Linked DNA regions of Oryzias latipes. The main gene of each other region encodes a partner of the protein of the gene in region 2 in a complex. Links are inferred from orthologs where the notes say so. Each region holds a gene or a part of one and is shown on either strand. Other genes may lie near its edges. The genes, in order: polr2d and ercc2.

Region 1 (4,488 bases), on a different chromosome or scaffold from region 2:
GCAATCCATCTAGGAATCCTTGGTGGAGAAGGGAATGACAGCACCTGTGATTCATTTGCTGCATCTTTTCCTGTTTCACCACCTACCTACCCTTTAGCTGTAATAAAGATTGGAAGATTTGATGAGATCCCTCCCTGCCTCTGTCCCTATGGTCCACCGGCTCTCCTTCTCACTTTGTGATTCTTTTTGTTAAAAGAGCTTTACAAACTTTGCTTGGTTGTTCCTTGGTGTAGTTTTTTTAAATTTTTATTTTCAATCAACACAATAAATCCAGTTCCCTGTTCCGCTCCTAATAAGCGGTTTGGACAGACAACCACACAAAAGCACTAAAAGGGGTTCTCCTGGGACAAGAAGGTTCTGTTGGGAATCAATTTTGCGTGGACTCTGACTCGAAGGTGGTCTTGCAGGTCTGAGCTGGCAGTACGAGTGGGCGGTGTTCGGGATAAGCTCACTGATGATGGATTTGAGTTTCTGCCCATAGGTACCCGAAGGAGCAGAGCACAGATACAGTTTTCTTATCAACATGTGCTGGATTTTCCACAGACCGGATAGAATCAGACACACAAACAGCATCTTGTGTGCCTTTAAAGTACATCAAGATTCTGCTGGGTGGTGGGTGGATTAAATGTTCTGTGATTTTTCTGGTCCCGGTGGAACGTGAACCACGCTGCCTCTGTTAAGGAGAGTTCTGGAGGTCTCAGGTCCAGCTGCTGGTCCTGGTCTTAGTACTGGAAGCTCCTCTTGGTCTGAATGTCATCCAGGATCTGTTGCAGCTCTTCATCCTCAAAGCGACCCTCCAGACTGAGAAAAGAAGCAGAACCCGGCAGAACTTTATTCTCTCAACGATGAATTATTTGATAAGAATTGTAACAACATCACCTGCAAAACGATCCATATCTCAGTAAGATACAGTGGTGGACAAAATTGTTGACAGACTGACTGATTATGAGTTTGAAGACAGCTATGATGTCAATTTAAGGACATACCTGAGTTCATCATGACCCCCTGGGCAATTAGTTCTCAGTCTGTTATGGAGGTACCATCATTTTTGGCCAACCCTATTTCATTAGCTTTTTTTTTTTTTTAAATAATTCTGTCAATCAACAAATTAAAAAGCTGATTTTGATTATTTCATTTTCATTAAATTTTAATTTATTGTTACTTTTGAACATTTCAAGTCATTTTAGTGAGAATTCTGGAATTTGTTTCTATAACTGATGGGTACCAACAATTTTGTCCACCACTGTATATTTTCACAAAAATAATGATCACTAAACAATCTAAAATAACTTATCTGCTATTTTTTAATGCATAATAATTTCAACAAGAAACCAATTCCTGACAAGTAAGAACAGCATAAAACTACATGTCTGTGATGAATTGATCCAAAATGTTTTCTGATCCAGTTTAGGATAATCTCTCAGGTTTTCTCTTTGAATTAATTCAATTAAAGCTGCACACGTCTGCCCTTAATGTAAAATAGTGTTACTTCGACATTACTAAATAAATCTCCTTGGCATCCAGACTAACTTATACTTTTACTCAATTTACTGAAAGTGTTAAAATAAAATAAAAAGTCAAGCCTCCCAAAAATCCTAAAATCACTAAGGTGTTCAGAATAATCTGATGTCAGGTGAATCTTTTCACAGATTGGTTAACGAAGACCCTGTAATTTATGGGTGAAAAGAACAAGTCCGGTTCAGTCCAGACTCACCTGGGGGTCAGAGCTTTAGCCTCCTCTGCAGCTTCAGGACACAGATTCGCCAAACTGGCCAGCTCAAATTTATGGAGCTTCTTCTGCAGGAGGAGACTGAGACAGACAGAAAGGCCATTAGGACCCAGATCAGGGCCAGGACCTGGGACCAGAAGGGGCATCCTTACCTGCGCACGGCAGTGATGGTCTCGCGGTTCTTGAAGCGGCTGAAGCGGGCCGTGTAGTTGAGAGTCTTCATGAAGACCTCGGACAACTCCTGTTCGTCCTCGGCGCTCTCGTTCTGCTGCTTCCTGTGCTCCAGCAGCATGTGGACCTCCGAGTTCAGCAGCGTCTCAGAGTTCTCAAACTCTGCAGACAGCAGGAGGGGGCTGGTTAGTCACTGAATTTGAGCTCAGATTCTACAGAATATCAGCTCCAGAACCATTTTGATTGAAAGACAGAAGGATTCCTGCAGTGATTGTGGACTGGAATTTAAGGCCTGTTTCAAGAAGTAGGACAAAAATCCTGCTGATCAAAGTCAGCCTGTACTATTTTAGGAAGCTTGTTGAGTCTCAGACCTTCCAGGACAGCAATCCATGTAAATTTAAACTTATAGTTTACTCTCAGCAAACAAACAAATAATTCTATCTTGATCAGTGGACCAAACATCATGATGATCACAATACATGTGTGTCAGTGAGAGAAACATTTAACCAGTACAGATGATGATGGTCGTATAATGAAAATATTCAGATTCAAATCGGTGATGCAGCTTACATAAATTAATAATCAGGGGATGATTATCCTCATCGGTCACATATAGCAACGTAATTGTTTCCAATACAGGTTACACTGTAACCTAACAAAAAGTTTCGGAAGTAAACAGTATTTGTGCGCGCCACCTTTGGGAAACAGCAACTGTGACGCGTCTTCTTCGACGTCTCCCACGTGCGAGGAAACCGAGCTTCCAGCGGCAGTCATGTCGAGTCACAGTCACGGGTCGCAGAGGCGCGCAGTACCGATGAGCTCCGTCAGCTTCTCTCGGAGACTACGGTGAGAACGTTAACTGTGCAGAGAACAACGGCGCTCGGGGAACTTCCGGTCACAACACCGATCTACTTCCGGTGATATTCTTCCTCTGCTTTCTTCTGGTTTAGGCGGGTGTCATCTAGCAATAATGGTGCGCTTCTGCTACCTACTGTCCTGGAAGATGAAGTGTAGGAACTCCCCTCAAACACAACGATAGAACTGTTCAGTCATATATGCCCTTGTAATAAATAATTTATTTCCTTGTAAATAAATGTTAAAGTTAAAGATTTAAAGAAAACAATTGTATTTTTGTGTTGAAATTGCTTGTTGATTGCATGTACTTTGAATCTTTTTGGGGATGAGTTTCATTTGTGGTGTTCAAATTCCTCTGTTCAAGTCTCATTAAAAAAGAACAACATTCTTTTTGGTGTAATTTCACATAACAGTCTGTTAAATTTAGTTTAAAATATTTTAACAATCAAAAGCAAATTTTATATTCATAAAAGTAAATTATTAAAAACCAAACCACTGTTTAATGTGTTTCTTAAGTAGATTTGTTTAATTCATGAAAAGTAAAAAAGCAAGAAAATGTTTCAACTTTTTTAAAGGCATTAAATTATATCAAAACTCTTCATATTTAGGTGTTTTTTAGTTGACTCTGTCTTTGTTTTGCTTTCTTGTGTCTTTATTTGATGATCTATCTCATTTTTTGTTCTAAATGTTCTAACTGTTTTACATTTATGTTTACAGGTTCCTAACTTAACATTTGTAGTGTTCAATAATAAAAGACCATGTGAGCTCGCCATAGCATAGACCTGCTGAGATTTTTGGTCCCTGATATTCATTTTAACTTTATTCATCTTTTCCCCTCTCTTTTGAATTTCTTACTGATATGTTTGTCAGTGTTATTTATATCATATAAAATTTGTATTTTTTTTAACCATGTGACCTTTAAAATACAAACCTTTATTTTATAACTAAAAATGTTCTTTATCCGCATTATTAGTTTTCAACAGTTTCAATTGCTTCTTGTATTTCCATGTAGGTACATTATCTTGCTGTGACTGGTCTTTATTCCTCTCTAGATGCTTCTCTACCTGCTCCTTGCAGGTCATAAGGTCATATGCAGACTTTATTTAGTCTTACTTTATTTATTTATTTATTTAGTCTTACTTTAGTCTTTATACTCCACCTGAAGTTGCCACACGTTTTTTTTCACAGCTACACTGGTAGCAAACACTTCTGAAACTCTGTAAACTTGAGAATGAATCTGTAGCAACTATTATTTTCTCACCTTTTGTAATCTCCTGCAACTCCACCAGGTGGCGTGGTGATTCAAATTTCAGAACGGTAGGGTTGGAATGTGTGTGAGGTTTTTACATTTTGTGTGTCCATTGTTTTTTCCAAGACCTTCAGGTTCCTGAAGGGGTTCAAAGCATGTTTTATTGGTAAATTAGGTACTCTACTCTAAAATTGTCCCTTAAGAAGTTTGAATAGACTTCTGATGGTCTAGTAAAGTGCTTAGAGTTATGTTGTTTATGCCCTGAAGTAACTGGAATGGACTCCATGCCCCCGTAGTCCTGCTCAGGACTATGGGGGCATGGAAGATATGTCTTTGTAAATTCCAGACACAGTTGTTCTTCAGTGGGCCCTTTGGAAAAATGTTGCATTTAATTCACTTGTGTTTCATTCTTTATGTTATTACTCTAACAAAGCTCGTTTGTAAAATGCTAAATTATTTGTACAAAACTTCAATAAGTTTTAAT
Region 2 (4,319 bases):
CCGGGGACGGCCTCTGGCGGGGAGAAGCGTTAGTCTGAGTTCTGAAACCAGAACCCCACGGCCAGACCGAGCTCCAACCTTGCAGGATTTCATCAGGTAAAACCGGATTTGCCAGGTAGACGTCCGTCTCCCTGGCAACGTTGGCCTCCTTCAGCCCTTCCACCAGCCGCCGGTACTCCTCCCTCAGCTTGGCGGCATCCGTGTCCTTGATCCTGCAGATGAGAACGAATCGGATGAGAGGAGCTGGAATGAAGCACACATGACCGATTCCTGAAATTATTTAACAGAAATTCTCAGATTATGGTAATAAAAACACGCCTATTTGCTTTTATTTCTCCATATGGAGGACCAGCTGATTAACCGACACTTCCAGGATGAAGAAAAAATCCTTGAACCTAGAGGCAGGAAACTTCAGGATTTTTCTCTTTAATTCAGTTTGGATCAAACAGAAGCGTCTTATTTTTCCACCCAAAGATGTTTATAGAAATAAGAAAAAAAACAGTTTTGACTCCAAGCTCTGATGTTTTCAGAATCAACATTTGAATTTGATTTCCTTTCATAATTGAGCTTTTTTTTTTTTTTAATATGGATGAGTCTGATTTATGGTTAATGACAAACAGAAACTCCATTACCCACAATTCCTGGTGCCATTAGGGTTTTACAGCTCAAATTTTTGGGGGTTTTAACGCAGAAAACTCCAGATGTTTTTCGTCCTGGTGTGGATAAAAGCAGACTGGGCTGCGTCTCACTTCTGGATGGTGTGCTGAAGTGTTTCCACGTTGCTCTGACAGCGGTCCAGAGTCCTCCTGGTGATGTTCACGCTCATGGAGTCGATGCAAACGTTGTCTGAGGAACGAAGCGGACAAAAAAAGATGAAGGGGAAGAAAAGAAAAATGAAACAAACTAAAGAGAGACGGTTTACCGATGTTATGAGCTTCATCGAACACGACCACCGATTTCTTGGCGAGCTCTTTGGACACCAGATCTGCGATCTTTGGGTCTAGGAGGTAGTGGTAGCTGTACACCACAATGTTGGCGTGAAGAATCTTAGGACAGAAAAATGAGATTTTAAATAGAAAAAAAAAACATGAAGTTAATGCCAACAGTCATTAAAAATCACAAACTAAACATGAGTTTGGATTATTTTCTTTGGTAAATAGTGACGTTTTTAACTTTCTCAAGAACACAGCCATATAGAAGCAGAAGGCAGAGAGAAGGTCACATGACTTGGTTCAGGTCAGAGGTCATGACTCTTTGTCATGACGTTTCTTGGAAGCTGTGGTCAAACTAAGGACATCAGAAGAGAAGTCAAGCATGGGGGTGGTTGTGTGATGGTCAGGGGCAGCTTTTCATCTTCACCGACTACTTCATAAATTTTAACTTCTTCAGGGAAAATCTCGAAGAAGAAAGTCCATCTGAAGCTCCAGAGCTCTGCGGCAGCATGAGGTTTGCTGAATGGATCAAACATCAAGTTTCTGTGACGACCACGTCAAAGTTTGGACTTAGATCGAACAGATTAACAGTCGTTGATGAAAAATCCTCCAGTCCTTTACAGAAACGGACTGACAGGTGTCTGAGCAACCTGACTGCAGCTGCAGCTGCAGCTGCGCAGTTGGGCTGCTTTGATCTGGATTTTAATTGGAATTGGTTAAATGGACACAAAGGAAAACATTCTCCAGATCCATTCAGTCCCTGAAAGGGTTAAAGGTCAGGCACGTGCTGAGCGCCTCTGCTTGGTTACATACCGAATACCGAGCCAGGTAATAAGGACACCAGCCTTTTCGTCTGCCAAAGTCCTTCAGGTCGTCCAGGTTGTAGATGCCGGCAGGAAGGGGAACCTGCCGACCGACGGCGTCAAACTCCTGAGACACAAACCCAACATTCGCAGAGCTTCAGCCACGTTGACGTTCATGCGGTCCGATTTCCCGTAAGCTGAGGCGATTTTCTACCTCGTAGAAGCGGCAGACAGGCTGGTCGGGGTTGCTGTGGCGCTGAGCCCGGATGTAGGACGCCGTCAGGCTGTGGCACTTCCCGTCTACCTCCTTCCCAAAGCGCAGAGAGCTCACCTGATGGACGAGGGAGCTTCCTGTTTGATCAACATTTCCAGAAAGCACGGAAACCCTCAGCTTTCAGGGTTTTTACCTCAGGATGGATGCAGAGATTTTTCCTGGAAGACAGCGCCAGAGCCAGGAAGTTGTTGACTTCTCCGGTTTCTTTAGCGTAAAACTCCATCAGCTTCCTCAGCTCCTCCACGACCTAGATGAGCGGAGGACTTGAAAAGCTCCTGGAGATTTGCTCGTCGTTGGCTGCGGAGGGGTCAGACTCACCTTCTCGATCTCAGGAACTGTCCTGGAGCAGTAGATTAACTTGGTCACATCCAGCGGGAACGCCTGAGAATCAAATAAAGCTTAGAGCAGCTGTCGCCATGAAGGCTCAGAAGGTGCAGAGCTGGACTCACCTTCTGATAGGCCACAATGAGGGACAGCAGGGAGATGGTCTTCCCTGTTCCTGAAGGCATCTCCAGTACTCCATGACCCTGAAACGCAGACACAACACAGTCACTTCACCGTCTCCAGTGAGTTTTCCTGGTTTATGAAATTACCGCACTACATTTCCCAGAAACCCATCTAACACCCGAGTGAAAGAAGCCCACCTTTGCGTCCAGGGTCCTCTTCAGCTCCAGCATGTAGGAGTACTGCTCCGGATAGATGTAATCATACGGAAAATACACCAGCAGACCTTCTATGTTCAACCTGCGACCAAACAGCAAACAGACTGAATAAAACAGCCCAATGCAGACACACGCAAACACTTTAACAGACGAAAAACTTTTCTTTGCTAGCTCTGTCAACACAAACCAAACATTAGCATTAGCATCAACACGTGCTGGTTTAGACTTTTTGTTTACGTCACAGTAACAAAAGAACTCACTTCATCTTCTAAAGAGAAACTTTCCAAAAACTTTCGTCTTTGATTTACGACAGATTGGTCCTTTTAAAGTGAACAGATTTAGGATAACTACACAGAGAACACCAAAATGTTAACGACTTCTTCTTCTTCTACTGTTGTTGTTGTTGCCGGCGTTTCTAAACGCTCTACCACCTGCAGGCAGGAAGAAGAACTGCAGGAACATTAAGAAGAGTCACATGCAAAAGGCATTCTTTTATGGAAGCATTTCTGTTGCACAATTCAAAAACAAAAGTCAAAACCAGAAATGCTTTTATTTTTGAATTATGCAACAGAAATGCTTCCATACTAAATAAAGCCCCTCTGTGAAACATACGAAAAAAAGTCTCTTTGCCTGTAATGTGCATTTTCCCCAGCAGAGGGCAACAATGTTCAGCTCCTGCTCAAACTTCAACCAGCGTTAGAAAATGTGACGTCAGACCCCTCAATGTTTTGATTTTTTCTTTTAATTTCAGAATTTCATTCTTTTTCAAATATTAGTCTTGTATTTTAATCGACAAATATAAGTCGAAAAATTGTGTTAAAAATCTAAAATACGAAGATGATTACAGGAGATTATTTGGTTCTAATGTTCTGTTTTTAAATTGAAAAAGAAGTTTCTCTTTTTTTGTCATCTTTCCTTAAATGAAAAAAATAAGCACGCCATTGAATTCAGAATTCAAAGTTAGGCATCAGTTTTTAACTCTGATGAATATTTTTACACTAATGTGGGGATGGGTGCTGTTTTTACACCCCTGTTCAACAATTTTGGTTATGCAAGTCTTGTGTGCGCCTGTCTGTGTGCATTTGAGATAAATCTATCGAGCCATTTTTATGCACCCGTGCCGGTCTACCACGTAATACATTCATTTATTCTAATACATTTTCGCAACTTCTGAGACGTGTGCAAAAATTGGTTAGTTTTTTAAGCCTCAAATAGGCGAGTCTTTACTCGGAATAATAATAAACATTTTAAAAACCATAGAGTCCTTGCAATCCCTCTGCTCGGGCCCTAATGTGTTTATTTCACTGCTTTTTATTTCAAAACTGCAGCTTTACACTACGGCCATCAGAGGGCGGTATTTCATCAGCATTAAAGTCCATTTCTTATATTAATCCCATTTTGTTGCAAAAACCAAAATGTAAATAAAATAAAGTGTGATTCTGTTAATCTAATAAAAGCGATTTACAGAGCAACTACTGACACCTTTTCTATTATTTTCCAAGAATTTAAATGAACATTTAACAAAGTCATGAAGATTTGTGCTCAACTTCCACATGTTTATGACATCCTTTGTCCATAAAATGTGCACCGATTGGTTTTAGTTGGAAAAATAGCTGAAACTCACCTCAATTAGGCTGACTGGTCCTAT

The links.
Region 1: ercc2 (region 2) and polr2d share a complex: the UniProt entries of both Homo sapiens proteins name them as parts of the TBP-based Pol II pre-initiation complex. The link is inferred for Oryzias latipes from reciprocal best matches to the Homo sapiens genes ERCC2 and POLR2D.

The regions. Positions count from the first base shown.
Region 1 is NC_019878.2:10,414,514-10,419,001, forward strand, and holds polr2d (DNA-directed RNA polymerase II subunit RPB4), read right to left. Parts: upstream 2,811-4,488; 5' UTR 2,675-2,810; coding exon 2,596-2,674; intron 2,063-2,595; coding exon 1,882-2,062; intron 1,811-1,881; coding exon 1,715-1,810; intron 802-1,714; coding exon 723-801; 3' UTR 218-722; downstream 1-217. UniProt on the Homo sapiens protein: Core component of RNA polymerase II (Pol II), a DNA-dependent RNA polymerase which synthesizes mRNA precursors and many functional non-coding RNAs using the four ribonucleoside triphosphates as substrates.
Region 2 is NC_019871.2:4,134,659-4,138,977, reverse strand, and holds the start of ercc2 (general transcription and DNA repair factor IIH helicase subunit XPD), read right to left. Parts: upstream 3,108-4,319; 5' UTR 2,937-3,107; coding exon 2,932-2,936; intron 2,754-2,931; coding exon 2,654-2,753; intron 2,537-2,653; coding exon 2,459-2,536; intron 2,391-2,458; coding exon 2,328-2,390; intron 2,257-2,327; coding exon 2,143-2,256; intron 2,067-2,142; coding exon 1,950-2,066; intron 1,863-1,949; coding exon 1,746-1,862; intron 1,047-1,745; coding exon 923-1,046; intron 847-922; coding exon 750-846; intron 213-749; coding exon 79-212; intron 14-78; coding exon 1-13. UniProt on the Homo sapiens protein: ATP-dependent 5'-3' DNA helicase. Component of the general transcription and DNA repair factor IIH (TFIIH) core complex, not absolutely essential for minimal transcription in vitro.